Anolis sagrei: one gene and its partner. The protein of the gene in region 1 purifies or fractionates together with the protein of each later gene. This does not show direct contact. Links are inferred from orthologs where the notes say so. Each region holds a gene or a part of one and is shown in the gene's direction. Other genes may lie near its edges.

Region 1 (9,436 bases):
TTTTGGTCACCTTGCCGCTGGACGCCAGACAGCGCCCGTTGAACTGTGTGGGATATGATTCGCTCGGATATCGGCGCTTGCCGTTCTCCTCCACTCGCTCCTTTGCTCGAAGAAGCCCTCCTTCTCAAGGCTTGAAGATATTTAAAATACTTGGCATTCGAATCTGTTGACGGGTTGTTGCAATCACTTGTGGACTAAAAGGACTGGAAAGAGCCATTGGCGGAAGAAGTCACCCAGGCCTCACCCAGAATCAACACAGAAGCCCTTTCTTAAAGGGGAGGTTGCACAGTTTGAGAGAAATGCAACCATCAGAAGTCTTACCAGGTAACTCTCTCAATTCAGCATTGTTTGGAACGGAAACGTTGCCATCGTCATGACCATGGTTTTAGTTGAGGGGAAATAAATTTGAGGGGGTATCGTTCTTTTTCTTTAGGAGTCTGGTTCTGTCACTGCTGTGGGTCGGTCACTGTCATGTCATTGCCTTACCTTTCCAAAAAAACAGAATCAGGTGTGGTTTTACATTTTGGTGGTTGGATTTGTGTAGAGCTTTTGTGTCCACGAGGATCAAAAGAAGAGTCCACAGCAGGCATGTTTAAACGTGGACCTTCCAGATGTTTTGGACTTCAAGTTTCACCATTCCTCACAGCCTCAGGCCCCTTCCTTTCCCCCCTCAGCTGCTTAAGCTGAGTGCTGGGCCCATAACCAATGTTAGGTCAGTGTGTAGACCAGGCATGGGCAAAGTTGGGCCCTTCAGTTGCTTTGGACTTCAAATTCCATCATTCCTAACAGCCTCAGGCCCTTTCCTTTTCCACGTCAGCCGCTTAAGCTGAGTGCTGGGCCCATAACCAATGTTAGGTCAGTGTGTAGACCAGGCATGAGCAAAGTTGGGCCCTCCCTCCAGATGTTTTGGACTCCAACTTCCACCATTTTTAACAGCCTCAGCCCCTTTTCCCCCACAACCACTTAAGCTGAGTGCTGGGCCCATAACCATGGTTAAGTCAGTGTGTAGACCAGGAATGGGCAAACTTGGGGCTTCCAGTCTCTTAAGCTGAGTGCTGGGCCCATAACCATGGTTAAATCAGTGTGTAGACCAGGCATGGGCAACGTTGGGCCCTCCAGATGTTTTGGCCTTCAACTCCCACCATTCCTAACAGCCTCAGGCCCCTTCCTTTTCCCCCACAACCACTTAACCTGAGTGCTGGGCCCATAACCATGGTTAAGTCAGTGTGTAGACCAGGCATGGGCAAACTTGCCCTCCCTCCAGATGTTTTGACCTTCAACTCCCACCATTCCTAACAGCCTCAGGCCCTTTCCTTTCCCCCCCACAGCCGCTTAAGCTGAGTGCTGGGCCCATAACCATGGTTAAGTCAGTGTGTAGACCAGGAATGGGCAAACTTGGGGCTTCCAGTCTCTTAAGCTGAGTGCTGGGCCCATAACCATGGTTAAATCAGTGTGTAGACCAGGAATGGGAAAACTTGGGACTTCCAGTCTCTTAAGCTGAGTTCTGGGCCCATAACCAATGTTAAGTCAGTGTGTAGACCAGGCATGGGCAAAGTTGGGCAAAGTGCTAGGCCCATAACCAATGTTAGGTCAGTGTGTAGACCAGGAATGGGCAAACTTGGGACTTCCAGTCTCTTCAGCTGAGTGCTGGGCCCATAACCATGGTTAAATCAGTGTGTAGACCAGGAATGGGCAAACTTGGGACTTCCAGTCTCTTAAGCTGAGTTCTGGGCCCATAACCAATGTTAGGTCAGTATGTAGACCAGGCATGGGCAAAGTTGGGCCCTCCAGATGTTTTGGACTCCAACTTCCACCATTCCTAACAGCCTCAGGCCCTTTCCTTTCCCCCCACAACCACTTAACCTGAGTGCTGGGCCCATAACCATGGTTAAGTCAGTGTGTAGATCAGGCATGGGCAAATTTGGACCCTCCAGATGTTTTGGCCTTCAACTTCCACCATTCCTAACAGCCTCAGGCCCTTTCCTTTTCCCCTCTCAGTTGCTTAAGCTGAGTGTTGGGCCCATAACCAATGTTAGGTCAGCCTGGATATTTGCTTGAATGGCAGTTTTGTATGCAGGACGTTTTCTAAATCTTGTGACTGCAGTCAATAGCTCAGTGCTTAAGCAGCTGACGGGAAAAGAAGGGGCCTGAGGCTGCCAGGAATGGTGGGAGTTGGAGTCTAAAACACCCAGAGGGGCCAAATGTGCCCTTGCCTGGTGTACACATTTGTGTTTTGTAGAAGTCCAGATTTTTCTTGGCTCGCTCTGGCCCCTTTACATAAGTAAATAAAGGTGTTTTCTTTTTCTTTTTGGCTTCGGACCATTCGGTCTCATGTCCTGTTCTATTATTATTATTTAAAAAAAAAAATCCAGAAAATGAGAATATTTGGCCTAAAAATGTGCAGTCTTTTAGAGGTGAGATAGAGATGACATTTCTCCCCCCCCCCCCCCCCAATTTCTCACGTATTTGGTTGTACATACGATTCCTCCCTAAACCCCTTCTCGAGCAGCCTTAAGTCAGAAGCCAAGTCTTGCGTTTCTACAGCTGAGGCGAGAAAACTCCTGGAGTGCTTTACGGGATCCTTCCATCTCCTAATGACTACGCAGAACCACGGGTGCACACTCGGCTTGCGTTTTTCTTTTTTCCCTTCCTTCCTTCCTTCTATCGAGTTTCATTTTCATTGCAGAATTATTTAGCAGTGTACGGTCAATCTGTAAACTTGCATCAAGTTTATGAATAAAGAATTAAGAATTCTGTTTTTCTCTGGAGAGTGTCTGCTTTTGATTGCTTGGTATGGTATTTTTAAAAAATATTAACGTGGCTGATATTTTGGAGATGAGGGAAAGCATGCTCAGAGTTAGGCCTGTCAACTGTGAAAAGCTGAAGTCCAATCCTGATTAATGACCACAGAGAGTGGAACCAAAAACATCCAATGTACATTATTGTGAATTATTGTATTATCAAAGGCTTTCATGGATGAAATCACTGGGTTGCTGTGAGTTTTCTGGGCCATCTGGGCATGTTCAAGAAACATTCTCTCCTGATGTTTTGCCTAGTAATATTACATGCAATATAAAATATATAATTATAATATATTATTAGTAGTACTAGCCGTCCTCTGCCATGTGTTGCTGTGGCCCACATGGGGATTCTGTGTGGGAGGTTTGGCCCAATTCTATCATTGGTGGGGTTCAGAATGCTCTGTGATTGTAGGTGAACTATAAATCCCAGCAACTACAACTCCCAAATGTCAAGATTCTATTTTCCCCAAACTCTACCAGTGTTCACATTTGGGCATATTGAGTATTCGTGTAGAGTTTGGTCCAGATCCATCATTATTTGAGTCCAGAGTGATCTCTGGATGTAGGTGAACTACAACTCCAAAACCAAAGGACACTGCCCACCAAACCCTTCCAGTATTTTCTTTTGGGGGAGGACTGTGTGCTAAGTTTGGTTCAATTCCGTCGTTGGTGGGGTTCAGAATGCTCTTTGATTGTAGATGAACTATAAATCCCAGCAACTACCACTCCCAAATGACAAAATCAATTTTTTTGAGTGAAGGACATACATTGGGTTGTTAGGTGTCTTGTATCCAAATTTGGTGTCAATTCGTCCAGTGGTTTTTTAGTTCTGTTAATCCCACAAACGAACATTACATTTTTATTTATATAGATTATATTGCATTACATTATAATATTATAAATATTATATGTATATACAATATAGAATATATTATTAGAATAGCACATTATTATTATTATTATTATTATTATTATTATTATTATTATTATTATTATTATAGGAGCCTCTTGTGGCGCAGAGGGTTAAAGCCCTGTGCTGGTAGGACTGAAGACCCACAGGTTGCCGGTTCGAATCCGGGGAGAGCATGGATGAGCTCCCTCTATCAGCTCCAGCTCCTCATGCGGGGACATGAGAGAAGCCTCCCACAAGGATGGTAAAAGATCAAAACACCCTGGGCAATGTCCTTGCAGACGACCAATTCTCTCACACCAGAAACAACTTGCAGTTTCTCAAGTCACTCCTGAAACAGCAAAAAAAAAATTAGAATAATAATAATGTATTAAAACCTTATTATTATTTTATCTTATTATTATATTGCATTACATTATAATATTATAAATATTACGTATAGAATATACAATATAGAATATAATATATTACATTATATTATTAGAATAGCACACTATTATTAGAATAATAATAATGTATTAAAATAATACCTTATTTTATCTTAATATTATATTGCATACCATTATAATATAAATATTATGTGTATATACAATATAATATAATAATAATAATAATATAATATTCTATATTATATTAGTAAAGGTAAAGGTAGTCCCCTGACATTAAGTCCAGTCATGTCTGACTCTGGGGTGTGGTGCTCATCTCCATTTCTAAGCCGAAGAGCCAGCGTTGTCCGTAGACACCTCCAAGGTCATGTGGCCGGCATGACTGCATGGAGCGCCGTTACCTTCCCACCGGAGCGGTACCTATTGATCTACTGTTCGAGCAGGCATTTGGTTAACTCGGTGCAATGAATGGGATGATTAAAGATTGGTAATATGGATGACGAAACTGGACCACGATTTTAGTTAAGAGATGCATTGAATAGTGATTTATGTGTCAACATTGTGTATTATGTTTTTTATGGTTTTTAAATTGTATACTGTGGATTGTGTATCTTGTAAACCGCGTTGAGTCGCCAGCTAGGCTGAGAAACGACAGTATACAAGTACAGTAAATAAATAAATAATAAATAAATACTCACATTTGCATGTTTTCGAACTGCTAGGTTGGCAGAAGCTAGGGCTGACAGCGGAAGCTCACGCCGCTCCCCGGAATCGATCCTGCGACGTTTTGATCAACAAGCTCAGCAGCTCAGTGCTTTAACCCACTGCACCACCGGGGCCTCCTATTATATGTATATGTATATTCTAATAATAATGTGCTATTCTAATATATATATATTATATGTATATAAAATATATATTAGAATAGCACATTATTATTAGAATAATAATAATGTATTAAAATAATAAAGCTTTAGGTTCTTGTGGGTTTTTTCGGGCTACAGGACCATGTTCTAGAGGCATTTCTCCTGACGTTTCGCCTGCATCTATGGCAAGCTTCCTCAGAGGTAGTGAGGTCTGTGGGAATTAGAACAATGGGTTTATATATCTGTGGAATGGCTGGGGTGGGGCAAGGAGCTCTTCCCTGCTGAAGCTAGGTGTGAATGTTTCAACTGACCACCTTCATTAGCATTTGAAGGCCTGGCTGAGCCTGGGAAAATGTTCTGTTGAGAGGTGTTAAGATGTGCCTGGTTGTTTCCTCTCTGCTGTTTTGCTTTGTTTGTACTCCGCCCTCCTCTCTCCCTTCGGGGACTCAACCTCAACAAAAGCCAAGCCCCGCAAGGGCTGCTGGGAAATGAAGTCCAAGAGGCAGGGTTTGGGAAGGAACCAATCCCGCCTCGTGAGCTCCAAGCCACGCCCCCGCCGGTGTCCATCACGAGGAGGAGGGACGTATTGCGCAGGCGCGGCCTTCCGCTTCCGGGAGAGGTTGCCGGGGCAACGGGGAAGGCCTGTGGATTTGGTGGGCGATGGAGGCCTGCGCGAGAGGAGAAGGAGGCGGCGGCGTGCTCGTGCTGAGCAGCTTGGCGGAGGTGGTGGAGCGCGTCCTGGGCTTCCTGCCCGCCAAGGCGCTGCTGAGGGCGGCCTGGTGAGTGGCCAGGGCTTCCTCCGCCGCCGCCGCTTTCCCTGGGCGCGCGACAGCAAGCGAGGCCGAGGCTTGAGGCCTACTCCTGACTCTGAAGCCTCGAGGCGCTTTGAGGCAGGGGAGGAGATCAAACAAGCGGCTCCATCCACTCAGCTGAATAAAATCTCACATTATTTGCTTTGAACTGGGATATATGGCAGTGTGGATAACCCAGTTCAAAGCAGAGATTGTGGTATTTTCGTCCTTGATATTCTGGGTTATATGGCAGTCTTGGAGGGCCTCTGACACAAGACTTCTTTTGCTTCGCCAGACATTACAAAATGGGCCCCCTCCTCCCATCATTGCTCCCTCTATTATTACTTATTTATTTACTAGCTGTACCCGCCACATAACACCACTCTGATGGCCGAAAGCGAGGAGGAGCTGAGGAGCCTTCTAATCAAGGTGAAAGAAGAAAGCGCAAAAGCCGGGTTGCAGCTAAACGTAAAAAAAAAACCAAGATTATGGCAACAAGAATGATTGACAACTGGGAAATAGAGGGAGAAAATGTGGAGGCCGTGACAGACATTGTATTTCTAGGTGCAAAGATGACTGCAGATGCAGACTGTGGCCAGGAAATCAGAAGACGCTTCCTTCTTGGGAGGAGAGCAATGTCCAATCTCGATAAAATAGTAAAGAGTAGAGACATCACACTGGCAACAAAGATCCGCCTAGTCAAAGCCATGGTATTTCCTGTAGTCACCTACGGATGTGAGAGCTGGACCTTAGGGAAGGCTGAGCGAAGGAAGATCAGTGCTTTTGAGCTGTGGTGTTGGAGGAAAGTGCTGAGAGTGCCTTGGACTGCGAGAAGATCCAACCAGTCCATCCTCCAGGAAATAAAGCCCGACTGCTCACTGGAGGGAAGGAGAATAGAGACAAAGTTGAAGTACTTTGGCCACATCATGAGGAGACAGCAAAGCCTAGAGAAGACAATGATGCTGGGGAAAGTGGAAGGCAAAAGGAAGAGGGGCCGACCAAGGGCAAGATGGATGGATGGCATCCTTGAAGTGATGGGACTGACCTTGAAGGAGCTGGGGGTGGTGACGGCCGACAGGGAGCTCTGGTGTGGACTGGTCCATGAGGTCACGAAGAGTCAGAGACGACTGAACGAATGAACAACAACAGGGCAGTCTTCGAGGGCCCCTGACACATGACTTATTTTGCTTCCCCAGACATTACAAAATGGGTCCCCTCCTCCCATCATTGCTCCCTCTATTATTTATTTATTTATTTATTTATTTGCTAGCTGTACCTGCCACGTGTTGCTGTGGCCAACCTTCCCTCTTTCTCTCCTTCTTTCCCTCCTTCCTTCTTTCCTTCCTTCCCCCCATTTCTTTCTCTTTTGCTGTCTCTCTTTTCTTCCTTCTCTTATTATTATTATTATTATTAACTTTATTTGTACCCCGCTAGCATCTCCCGAAGGACTCGATGCGGCTTACAAAGGCCAAGGCCTCAACAACACAACATAAATACAACACCTTCTTTCCTTCCCTCCCTCTTTCTCTACATCTTCCCCCATCCTTCGCTCCCTCTTTCCTTCATTCTTTCCCTTTTTTCCTTTCCTTCTCTCCCTTCTCAATCTCTTTTCTTCCTTCCCCCCTTTTCTTTCTCTTCTGCTGTCATAGAATCCAAGAGTTGGAAGAGACCTCATGGGCCATCCAATCCAACCCCATTCTGCCAAGAAGCAGGAATATTGCATTCAAATCACCCCTGACAGATGGCCATCCAGCCTCTGTTTAAAAGCTTCCAAAGAAGGAGCCTCCACCACACCAGAGAGTTCCACTGCTGAATGGCTCTCACAGTCAGGAAGTTCTTCCTCATGTTCAGATGGAATCTCCTCTCCTGTAGTTTGAAGCCATTGTTCCGCGTCCTAGTCTCCAGGGAAGCAGAAAACAAGCTTGCTCCCTCCTCCCTGTGGCTTCCTCTCACATATTTATACATGGCTATCATATCCCCTCTCAGCCTTCTCTTCTTCTGGCTAAACATGCCCAGCTCTTTAAGCCACTCCTCTTAGGGCTTGTTCTCCAGACTCTTAATCATTTTAGTCGCCCTCCTCTGGACACATTCCAGCTTGTTAATATCTCTCTTCAATTGTGGTGCCCAGAATTGGACACAATATTCCAGGTGTGGTCTAACCAAAGCGTAATAGAGGGGTAGCATGACTTCCCTGGATCTAGACACTAGGCTCCTATTGATGCAGGCCAAAATCCCATTGGCCTTCTTTTGCCGTCGCATCACATTGTTGGCTCATGTTTAACTTGTTGTCCACGAGGACTCCAAGATCTTTTTCACACGTACTGCTTTCGAGCCAGGCGTTGTCCCCCAATCTGTATCTTCGCATTTTGTTTTTTCTGCCAAAGTGTAGTATCTTGCATTTGTCCCTGTTGAACTTCATTTTGTTAGTTTTGGCCAATCATCTCTCTAATCTGTCAAGATCGTTTTGAATCCTGCTCCTGTCCTCTGGAGTATTGGCTCTCCCTCCCAATTTGGTGTCGTCTGCAAACTTGATCCTGCCTTCTAGCCCTTCATCTAAGTCATTAATCAAGATCCTGAGCAGGACCGGGCCCAGGACGGAACCCTGCTGATGGCACTTCTTTCCAGAATGAAGAGGAAGCATTGGGGAGAATCACCCTCTGGGTTCGTCCATTTAACCAATTACTGATCCACCTCACCGTAGTTTTGCCTAGCCCACATTGGACTAGTTTGTTTGCCAGAAGGTCATGGGGGACCTTGTCGAAGGCCTTCCTGAAATCCAGGTTCGCTACGTCTCTCTTTTCTTCCTTCCTTCTTTCCTTCCTTCCTTCTCTCTTTGCTTCCATGCTTCCTTCTCCCTTTCCTTCTTTTTTCCCCTCCCTCTTTCTTTTCTTTCTTTCTTTCTTTTTTTTTTCTCTACTTCCTTCCCACTTTCTTCCCTTTTTTCTGTATTGTCATTTAGCTTTTCGTCATTTAGCTTTTTGGAGCTTTTTAAGTCCCTTCTGCTATGTTTTTTAGTGTTTTTATGAGTTAAGGACATACATTGGCCTGATAGGTGTCTTGTGTCCAAATTTGGTGTCAATTTGTCCAGTGGTTTTGGAGTTCTGTTAATCCCACAAACGAACATTACATTTTTATTTATATAGATTTATTTATGGCATTTATATTTATTTATTATTTATTTACTAGGAGACCCCGGTGGCGCAGTGGGTTAAACCCCTGTGCCAGAAGGACTGAAGACCGACAGGTCGCAGGTTCGAATCCGGGGAGAGGCGGATGAGCTCCCTCTATCAGCTCCAGCTCCTCATGCGGGGACATGAGAGAGGCTTCCCACAAGGATGGCAAAAACATCCGGGCGTCCCCTGGGCAATGTCCTTGCAGACAGCCAATTCTCTCACACCAGAAGCGAGTTGCAGTTTCTGAAGTTGCTCCTGACACGACAAAAATAATAATAATTATTTACTGTATTTGTATACTGCCTTTCTCAGTCAATCGGCGACTCAAGGCGGTTTCCAACAAAACAGTACAGATAATATCATAAAACAAGTTAAAACATCAAAACAGTATAAAACAACAACAATAATAACATAATTAGCATCTCTTTTTATTATCAAGCATTGTCCAGTTCCATCGTCAAGTCATTCAATTTCCTTTATGTCGTTTACTCTGCATTTGTAAACACCCC
Region 2 (8,915 bases), on another chromosome or scaffold:
CCTAAATGCCTGGAGGGAGGGGGCCGATCTAGTTTCACTAGGGATTTCCGCAGCCTAGGAGCCACCACCGAGAAGGTCCTGTCTCTTGTCCCTGCCAATCGCAGCTGCTTTAGCTGGCTCATAAAGGGAGATGAGTTCATATAGGTAAGCTGGACCAGAATCGTCGAGGGCTCAAGCCAGCACTTTGAATTATTCTCAGTAGCAGACTGGCAGCCAGCAGAGCTGATGCAACAGGGGGGTTCTGTGCTCCCTTTATGCTGCTCTGGTGAGCAATCTGCCTGCTGCTTGTTGGACTACTTGAAGCTTCTGAACAGTCTTCAAAGGCAGTCTCATGTAGAACACATTGCAGTAGTCTATTTGAGATGTAACAAGAGCATGGACTGCCGTGGCCAAGTCAGGCTTCTCAACGTATGGGTTCAGCTGGCGCACAAGTTTTAATTGTGCAAAAACTCCCCTGCCACTGCCAAAATCTGGGGTTCCAGGCTCAGCTGACTCCAGAACTCCCAAGCTGCGAACCTGTGACTTCAGGGGGAGTGTAACCCTGTCCAGCACAGGCTGTAACCCTATCCCCTGTTTGGCCTTACAACTGACCAGGAGTAACTCTGCCTTATCTGGATTCAGTTTCAATTTGTTTGCCCTCATCCAGACCGTCACAGCCGTCAAGCACCGGTTCAGGACCTGAACTGCCTCCTTCCCCTGCTTTCTTTCATACACCTTCCTCCCTCTTCTATCTTTCCCTTTCCTTCCCTCCTTTTTTCTCACCCACCTTCTCCCTTCTCCCTTGATTTCCCTTCCCTTCTTTCCTTCCCTTATAACAACAACAACAACTTTACTTATATCCTGCCCCATCTCCCCAAGACAACAACAATGCAAACAAGAACAACATAAAATATACAACAATAACCTCAATCAATACAATGTGTGGTAGTAAAACATAACATTATACCTTTTCCCTTTTCCATTCCGCCCCCTCCCTTCCTCCTTTTTCTTTCTTTTCCCATTCTTTCCCTTCTTTTTCTCTTCCCTTTCCCCCTTTTCCAGCTCTGGCACAATGTCTCCAGGGCAACATGGCCCTCTTTTGTGGCTCTTTTCCTTTCTCCCTTCCTTTCATCCTCCCTTCATACACAGGGCACCTTGATTTGACAGTGACTTCACCAGAGGGCCACTTCACCTAACCACAGCCAATCCAGTGACTTCACAATCGTACATTGAAATATAAAAGGCCAGTGACTTCAGAGGGTTGATTCACTCAGCTGCAGCCAATCCAGTGACTTCACAGAGGGCCACTTCACCCATCCACAGCCAATCCAGTGATTTCAGAGGGCCACTTCACCTAGCCAAAGCCAACCCAGTGACTTCACAAAGGGCCAGGTCGTCTATTTTATTTATTTATTTATTTATTTATTTGCTTCATTTCTATACCGCATTTTTCAGCCCTTAACAGGCGACTCAATGCGGTTTACAGTGCAATTAAAACATAACAATGCAACAACAGGATCAACAACATCGATCCACAACAATTAACAATCAGACAAGACAAATCAACAAACAAAATATATAACGCCTCAGTTGAAATCAGATCTGTTCTCATAGTCCTTGTGCCGTTCCTATGTTCCATTTACCGTCTTCCTTGATTGGTTGCATTGCTTAGCCAAACGCTTGTTCATAAAGCCAGGTCTTGACCATTCTCCGAAACGTCAGCAACGAAGGTGCCTGTCTGATGTCTGCCGGCAAGGCATTCCATAGCCGAGGGACCACCACTGAGAAGGCCCTGTCTCTCGTCCCCGCCAAGCGCGCCTGTGACGCAGGCGGGATCGAGAGCAGGGCCTCCCCAGACGATCTTAATGTTCTAGTCGGTTCATAGGTGGAGATGCGTTCGGAGAGGTAAGCGGGGCCAGAACCGTTTAACCACAACCAATCCAACGACTTCACAAGAGGGCCACTCCAGCCAGCCACTGCCAATCCAGTGACTTCACAAAAGGGCCACTTCACCCAGTGACAGCCAATTCAGTGATTTCACAAGAGGACCATTTCACCCATCCACAGCCCATCCAATGATTTCACAGAGGGCCACTTCACCTAGCCAAAGCCAATCCAGTGACTTCACAGAGGGCCACTTCAACCAGCCACAGCCAACCCAGTGACTTCAAAAAGGGCCAGGTCGTCTAACCACAGTCAATCCAGTGACTTCACAAGAGGGCCACTTCACCCAGCCACAGCCAATCCAGTGATTTCACAGAGGGTCACTTCACCTAGCCAAAGCCAATCCAGTGACTTCAGAAAAGGGCCACTTCACCCAGCCACAGCCAATCCAGTGATTTCACAGAGGACCACTTCACCTAGCCAAAGCCAATCCAGTGACTTCACAAGAGGGCCACTTCACCCAGCCACAGCCAACCCAGTGGCTTCACAAAGGGCCACTTCACCCAGCCACAGCCAACCCAGTGGCTTCACAAAGGGCCAGGTCATCAAACCACAGCCAATCCAGTGACTTCACAAGAGGGCCACTTCACCCAGCCACAGCCAATCCAGTGATTTCACAGAGGGTCACTTCACCTAGCCAAAGCCAATCCAGTGATTTAAAAAAAGGGCCACTTTACCCATCCATAGCCAATCCAGTGATTTCACAGAGGGTCACTTCACCTAGCCAAAGCCAATCCAGTGACTTCAGAAAAGGGCCACTTCACCCAGCCACAGCCAATCCTGTGATTTCACAGAGGACCACTTCACCTAGCCAAAGCCAATCCAGTGACTTCACAAGAGGGCCACTTCAACCAGCCACAGCCAACCCAGTGACTTCACAAAGGGCCAGGTCGTCTAACCACAGCCAATCCAGTGACTTCACAAGAGGGCCACTTCACCCAGCCACAGCCAACCCAGTGACTTCACAAAGGGCCAGGTCGTCTAACCACAGCCAATCCAGTGACTTCACAAGAGGGCCACTTCACCCAGCCACAGCCAATCCAGTGATTTCACAGAGGGTCACTTCACCTAGCCAAAGCCAATCCAGTGATTTAAAAAAAGGGCCACTTTACCCATCCACAGCCAATCCAGTGATTTCACAGAGGGTCACTTCACCTAGCCAAAGCCAATCCAGTGACTTCAGAAAAGGGCCACTTCACCCAGCCACAGCCAATCCTGTGATTTCACAGAGGACCACTTCACCTAGCCAAAGCCAATCCAGTGACTTCACAAGAGGGCCACTTCAACCAGCCACAGCCAACCCAGTGACTTCACAAAGGGCCAGGTCGTCTAACCACAGCCAATCCAGTGACTTCACAAGAGGGCCACTTCACCCAGCCACAGCCAATCCTGTGATTTCACAGAGGACCACTTCACCTAGCCAAAGCCAATCCAGTGACTTCACAAGAGGGCCACTTCACCCAGCCACAGCCAACCCAGTGACTTCACAAAGGGCCAGGTCGTCTAACCACAGCCAATCCAGTGACTTCACAAGAGGGCCACTTCAACCAGCCACAGCCAACCCAGTGACTTCACAAAGGGCCAGGTCGTCTAACCACAGCCAATCCAGTGACTTCACAAGAGGGCCACTTCACCCAGCCACAGCCAATCCTGTGATTTCACAGAGGACCACTTCACCTAGCCAAAGCCAATCCAGTGACTTCACAAGAGGGCCACTTCACCCAGCCACAGCCAACCCAGTGACTTCACAAAGGGCCAGGTCGTCTAACCACAGCCAATCCAGTGACTTCACAAGAGGGCCACTTCACCCAGCCACAGCCAATCCTGTGATTTCACAGAGGACCACTTCACCTAGCCAAAGCCAATCCAGTGACTTCACAAGAGGGCCACTTCACCCAGCCACAGCCAATCCTGTGATTTCACAGAGGACCACTTCACCTAGCCAAAGCCAATCCAGTGACTTCACAAGAGGGCCACTTCACCCAGCCACAGCCAACCCAGTGACTTCACAAAGGGCCAGGTCGTCTAACCACAGCCAATCCAGTGACTTCACAAGAGGGCCACTTCACCCAGCCACAGCCAATCCTGTGATTTCACAGAGGACCACTTCACCTAGCCAAAGCCAATCCAGTGACTTCACAAGAGGGCCACTTCAACCAGCCACAGCCAACCCAGTGACTTCACAAAGGGCCAGGTCGTCTAACCACAGCCAATCCAGTGACTTCACAAGAGGGCCACTTCACCCATCCACAGCCAACCCAGTGACTTCACAAAGGGCCAGGTCGTCTAACCACAGCCAATCCAGTGATTTCACAGAGGGCCACTTCACCCATCCACAGCCAATCCAGTGACTTCACAAAAGGGCCACTTCAGCCAGCCACAGCCAATCCAGTGATTTCACACACCAACAAATGCTAATTAAGGTCATAGACCAGCATAAGGAGAGAGGTTTAGAGACTCATAAAAGCGTTGTACATTGAAATCTAAACGGCCAGTGACTTCAGAAGACCATTTCACCTAACATACAGCCTTGGTACAAACTGAGAATATATATGTGTGTGTGTTTAAATCTATTGAAGGGCCTTTACAGGTCCTGAAGGGCCTTGAAATCGATTGGGCTGCCCCACCAACTTAGACTTGGCACATGTTGCCTTCCCTACTCTTCCATTTGAAAAGCCCCCTCCTCTTTCTGCTGCTGTGCACATCCTCACGTACACACTTTCCAAGCCATTCTCTGCAATTGGGCATCGAAGGGAAACGGTGTGCGCACGCGCGGTCTTGGACCCCCTCCCTTCGTTCCGCCCACCTCCTTTATCAGCGGCCCAATCGCAAAAGTCCTACCGTGCCTTCCCGTTGTTTCAATCTTAAACCGCGCTCCCATTGGCTGGGGGCGGGCGAAGGCCAACCAATTCCGGAAAAGAAAAAAAAAACACAACAACCGCTCTTTAATCCGAGGTGGAAAAGAGGAGAAGGCATTGGATTGGCGGAGAGCCCTGCCACTCTTAATACTAGGGGAGAGGATTGGCTGGCGGGGCGCGGCGGGCCAATGGGAGGCGGAGGGGGCGGGATCTACGCGCGGCGCCCCTCCCCTTTCGGGCTTTTTGCCTTTTCTCGCTTTCTCTGAGGGGATTCGTTGAAGCGACGACGACGAGAAAGAGGCCGCGGACTGGTAAGGCCTTCCTGGGCCAGGTTTGAGGGGACAACTCGAGGCGAAGGCTACGTATTTTACCTCAGGGAGGCGAAGGGGGCGGTTAGGGTCGTGCCACACGGCACCGTTGTCGCGCTACCGTCCCGCTTTAAGTGTCATGGCGGCCTACTGAGGAAATTGGCCGCTGAGGGGGAGGGGCCCCCTTTGAATGGCAAGTGCGTCGCCCTGGGACTGGCATAGTGTTGTATTCCTTTGTATCACAAAGTTAGAAGGGATCCTCCAAGGCCATCCAGTCCGACCCCCTTTTGCCAGGCAGGAAAGCCCTCCCGGCAGATGGCCATCCAGCCTCATAGGCACCATCAAGTTCAGGGAGAGAACTAGGGCGGCAGAACCCGAGAGTCGAGCCGTTTCTTCCATAAAGGAACACAATCAAAACCCTCCAGAGGGATGGCCATCGACCCTCATAAGCACGTTCTTGAAGCAATAGGGCTATCGAGTCACAGAATCATAGAATCCTAAGGTTGAAAGGGACCTCAAACCAACTCTATTTTGCCATTCAGGATACAATCAAAGTCCTCCCGACAGATGATCATTCAGCCTCCTAGACAGCAGTAGGTTCTTTGAGCAATATGGCTCTAGGATCATAGAATCCTAGAGCTGAGAGGGATCGCAAATGCCATCCAACCCAACCCCCTTTTGCCATGCAGAAAAACACAATCCAATCCTACCGTACACATGGACATTCAGCTTCATAGACATTAAGTTCATGTAGAAACAAGGCTATTGAATCACAGAATCATACAATCCTAGAGTTGAAAGGGGCCCCAAACCAATTATCTTGCATTCAGGACACAGTCAAAGTCTTCCTGACAGATGGACATCCAGCCTCATAGAAATCAGCAGGTTCTTGGAGCAATAGGGCTATCGAAACACAGAATAGTAGAATCCTAGGGTTGAGACACTCCAAGCCAACTATTCTGATGTTCAGGAGCCCTCCCGACAGATGGCCATCCAGTCTCATAGGTATTGGAAGGTTCGTGGGGAAATAGGGCTATAGAATCATAGAATTCTAGAGCTGGAAGGGATCCTAAAGGACCATCTATCCCAATCCCCTTATGTCATGCAGGAAAAACACAATTTGATCCCACCTGACAGATGACCATCCAGGCTCATAGACATTAAAAGGTTCATGGAAAAATAGGGCTATAGGATTATAGAATCCTAGAGCTGGAAGGGATCCCAAGGGCCACCCAGTCCAACCCCCTTCTCCTGTAAAACCCAATCAAAGCCCTCCCAACAGCTGGCAGTCTAGTATCATAGACATTAGAATGTTTATGGAGAAAAAGGACTATAGAATCACAGAGCTGGAAGAGACCTTGAGGGCTGTCCAGTCCAACTCTCAGTCCAACTCCCTTCTAAAGAAGGACACAATCAAAACCCTCCCGACCGATGACAATTCAACCTCTGTTTCAAAGCTTCAAAGGAGAAGCTTCCACCAGTCTCCGAGGCAATGAGTTCCACTGTTGAACACCTCTAGAAGTTCCTCCTCATAATGTTCAGTTGGGATCTCCTTTCCCACCCATAACTTCAGTGAGTTCCCAGGGCAGCAAAAACAAGGTCTGTTCCCTCTCCTTTAGGACATCCTTTGGGATATTTAAACACATCTCTCATGTTTCCTCTCAGTCTTCTCTTCTGGGGGATAAACATGGAATAATAACAATAATAATAACTTTATTTTTATTCTGCCCTATCCCCCCAAAGGGACTCAGGGCAGATTCCAACCACAAAAGGGCAAACATTCAATGCCTAAATGCAACAACCATTACAAACATAATAGCAAAAATAACCCAACATATAACAAATAATTATAACTTAACATCTAAATTTAAAAGAAAGGAGATTCCATCTGAACATGAGGAAGAACTTCCTGACTGTGAGAGCCGTTCAGCAGTGGAACTCTCTGCCCCGGAGTATGGTGGAGGCTCCTTCTTTGGAGGTTTTTAAACAGAGGCTAGATGGCCACCTGTCAGGGGTGCTTTGAATGCAGTATTCCTGCTTCTTGGCAGGGGGTTGGACTGGATGGCCCATGACGTCTCTTCCAGCTTTATGATTCTAAGAAATTAAACATAACCTATCAAATAAATTATATCTAACATAAAACAAAACAATTTACCAGGGCCAACAAGGTTAATTAGGGCATGTAAGTTAATTATTGCCAAATATGTTAACTGGACTAGCAGTGTATCCAGGGCCTGGAAACAAAGAAAAGTTTTCAATCACATATGTAGTAACAATATCATCATCTAATCCTCCTCCTGGAAGGAGTTGGAGTTTGTGGTCACAGAAGGCAAAAGGCCTTTTAAAACTCTTTCTCCCGGCTCCATAGCATAGGTAGGGTACTGGCCGTCCCTGAGTTACAAACATCTGTCTTACAGATGACTCATAGTTAAGAATGGGGGCTGAAACAACAGGAAGTGAGAGAAATCTACCCCTCGGAAGGAAGGGAACTCCACTTCTGGGGAAAGGGTTCTTTCTGCACTGAAGTTTATTGCCAATCCTTGTTTCCACAACAAGCCACATTGTCCAAAATCCAGTTCTCACAGGGACAAAAAGTGAGGTGAAATCAATGTGTTGCTGAAGACTTTCATGGCTGGAATTACTGGGTTGCTGTAAGTTTTTTTTTGGGCTGTATGGTCATGTTCCAGAAGCATTCTTTCCTGAGGTGAAATCTTCCAAACAGGGGCACAGGTAGCAAAACAAACACTATAGGGTTATTCACCCTTCCCTATGTGATCTATAGATAGAAAGGGATGGAGTTACCTTATAAATGTACCCGTTCTGACTTGCATACAAATTCAATCTAAGAACAAACTTACAGACCTCTCTTGTTCTAAACATAGTGACTGCCTGTAGTGCCAAACTTTATTTATTCTACAGCATACTGTAGTTGCGCTCCAAATTAGTCAATTCTTTTTGAGCACTAGCTGTAGGTATTTCTCCCAGTGAGCCTTTAATTTCTCTATAATAATGAGGCCCGTTATCTGAAGTCTCACATCAGAATAAGTTTACAGTTTTAGCAGATTGGAATTGGGTCAAAACTAGGCTCTGAGTACTGGATGATGGTGGAAGATGCCCTTAGGCTCAGGTGTGTTATAGGTCTTTGTATACACTCTCAACCCTGCTAAGGGCCCTTAGGGACACTTCCATCTAATAAAAACAAGCATATTGATAACAGTGAGTGTGCTTTGCACCTTTCTTTTCTTTCTGTCAATGTGGTATTTCCTATCTGTCCAGGTGTGACTGTATTGTCTATGTATTGGTTTCTCTTCAGATCGTTAAAACGGGCATCACACACAGCAGTATTAGAAATTAAAGTGTTTGAGTAATATCTTTACAGGCTTGTGTCTTGCCTAATAAAAACATTATAGCAGTCCTAAGGAAAATACAGGAAGTGTCTTTGTAGCCTCATCACCAAGTAATGACTTGATGGTAAACATGTTGACATTTATAGCTATCATAAACATTGCTTTTTTAGTGTTAATATATTTCCAAGTAGTTAGCTCTTTTCAGAACTATTCAGTACAAAGATGGCGAAAAAGCGTACACTGACAGTAGTAATGCAGGTTTGAGCATCTCTTATCCAGGATTTCAAATAGCTCCATATCCCCAATTTGCCTGTATGGGTGGCTGAGTCCTTTACTTTTTGATGGTTTGGCTATGAACAAACTTTGTTTCATGCCCCAAAGAGCATTTGGAAACTGCAACTGGTACAAAGGTCAGCAGCTAGACTGCTTACAGGAGCGGGATACAAGGAAAGAACTACCCCAATTCTTAAGCAGCTACA

Evidence for each region.
Region 2: the proteins of FBXO22 (region 1) and KDM4B purify together in Homo sapiens (affinity purification with western blotting; 3 studies listed by BioGRID, with this or other methods). This does not show direct contact. The link is inferred for Anolis sagrei from reciprocal best matches to the Homo sapiens genes FBXO22 and KDM4B.

The regions. Positions count from the first base shown.
Region 1 is NC_090029.1:11,580,038-11,589,473, reverse strand, and holds the start of FBXO22 (F-box only protein 22), read left to right. Parts: upstream 1-5,554; 5' UTR 5,555-5,623; coding exon 5,624-5,742; intron 5,743-9,436. UniProt on the Homo sapiens protein: Substrate-recognition component of the SCF (SKP1-CUL1-F-box protein)-type E3 ubiquitin ligase complex that is implicated in the control of various cellular processes such as cell cycle control, transcriptional regulation, DNA damage repair, and apoptosis.
Region 2 is NC_090034.1:55,636,771-55,645,685, reverse strand, and holds the start of KDM4B (lysine-specific demethylase 4B), read left to right. Parts: upstream 1-5,004; 5' UTR 5,005-5,092; intron 5,093-8,915. UniProt on the Homo sapiens protein: Histone demethylase that specifically demethylates 'Lys-9' of histone H3, thereby playing a role in histone code. Does not demethylate histone H3 'Lys-4', H3 'Lys-27', H3 'Lys-36' nor H4 'Lys-20'.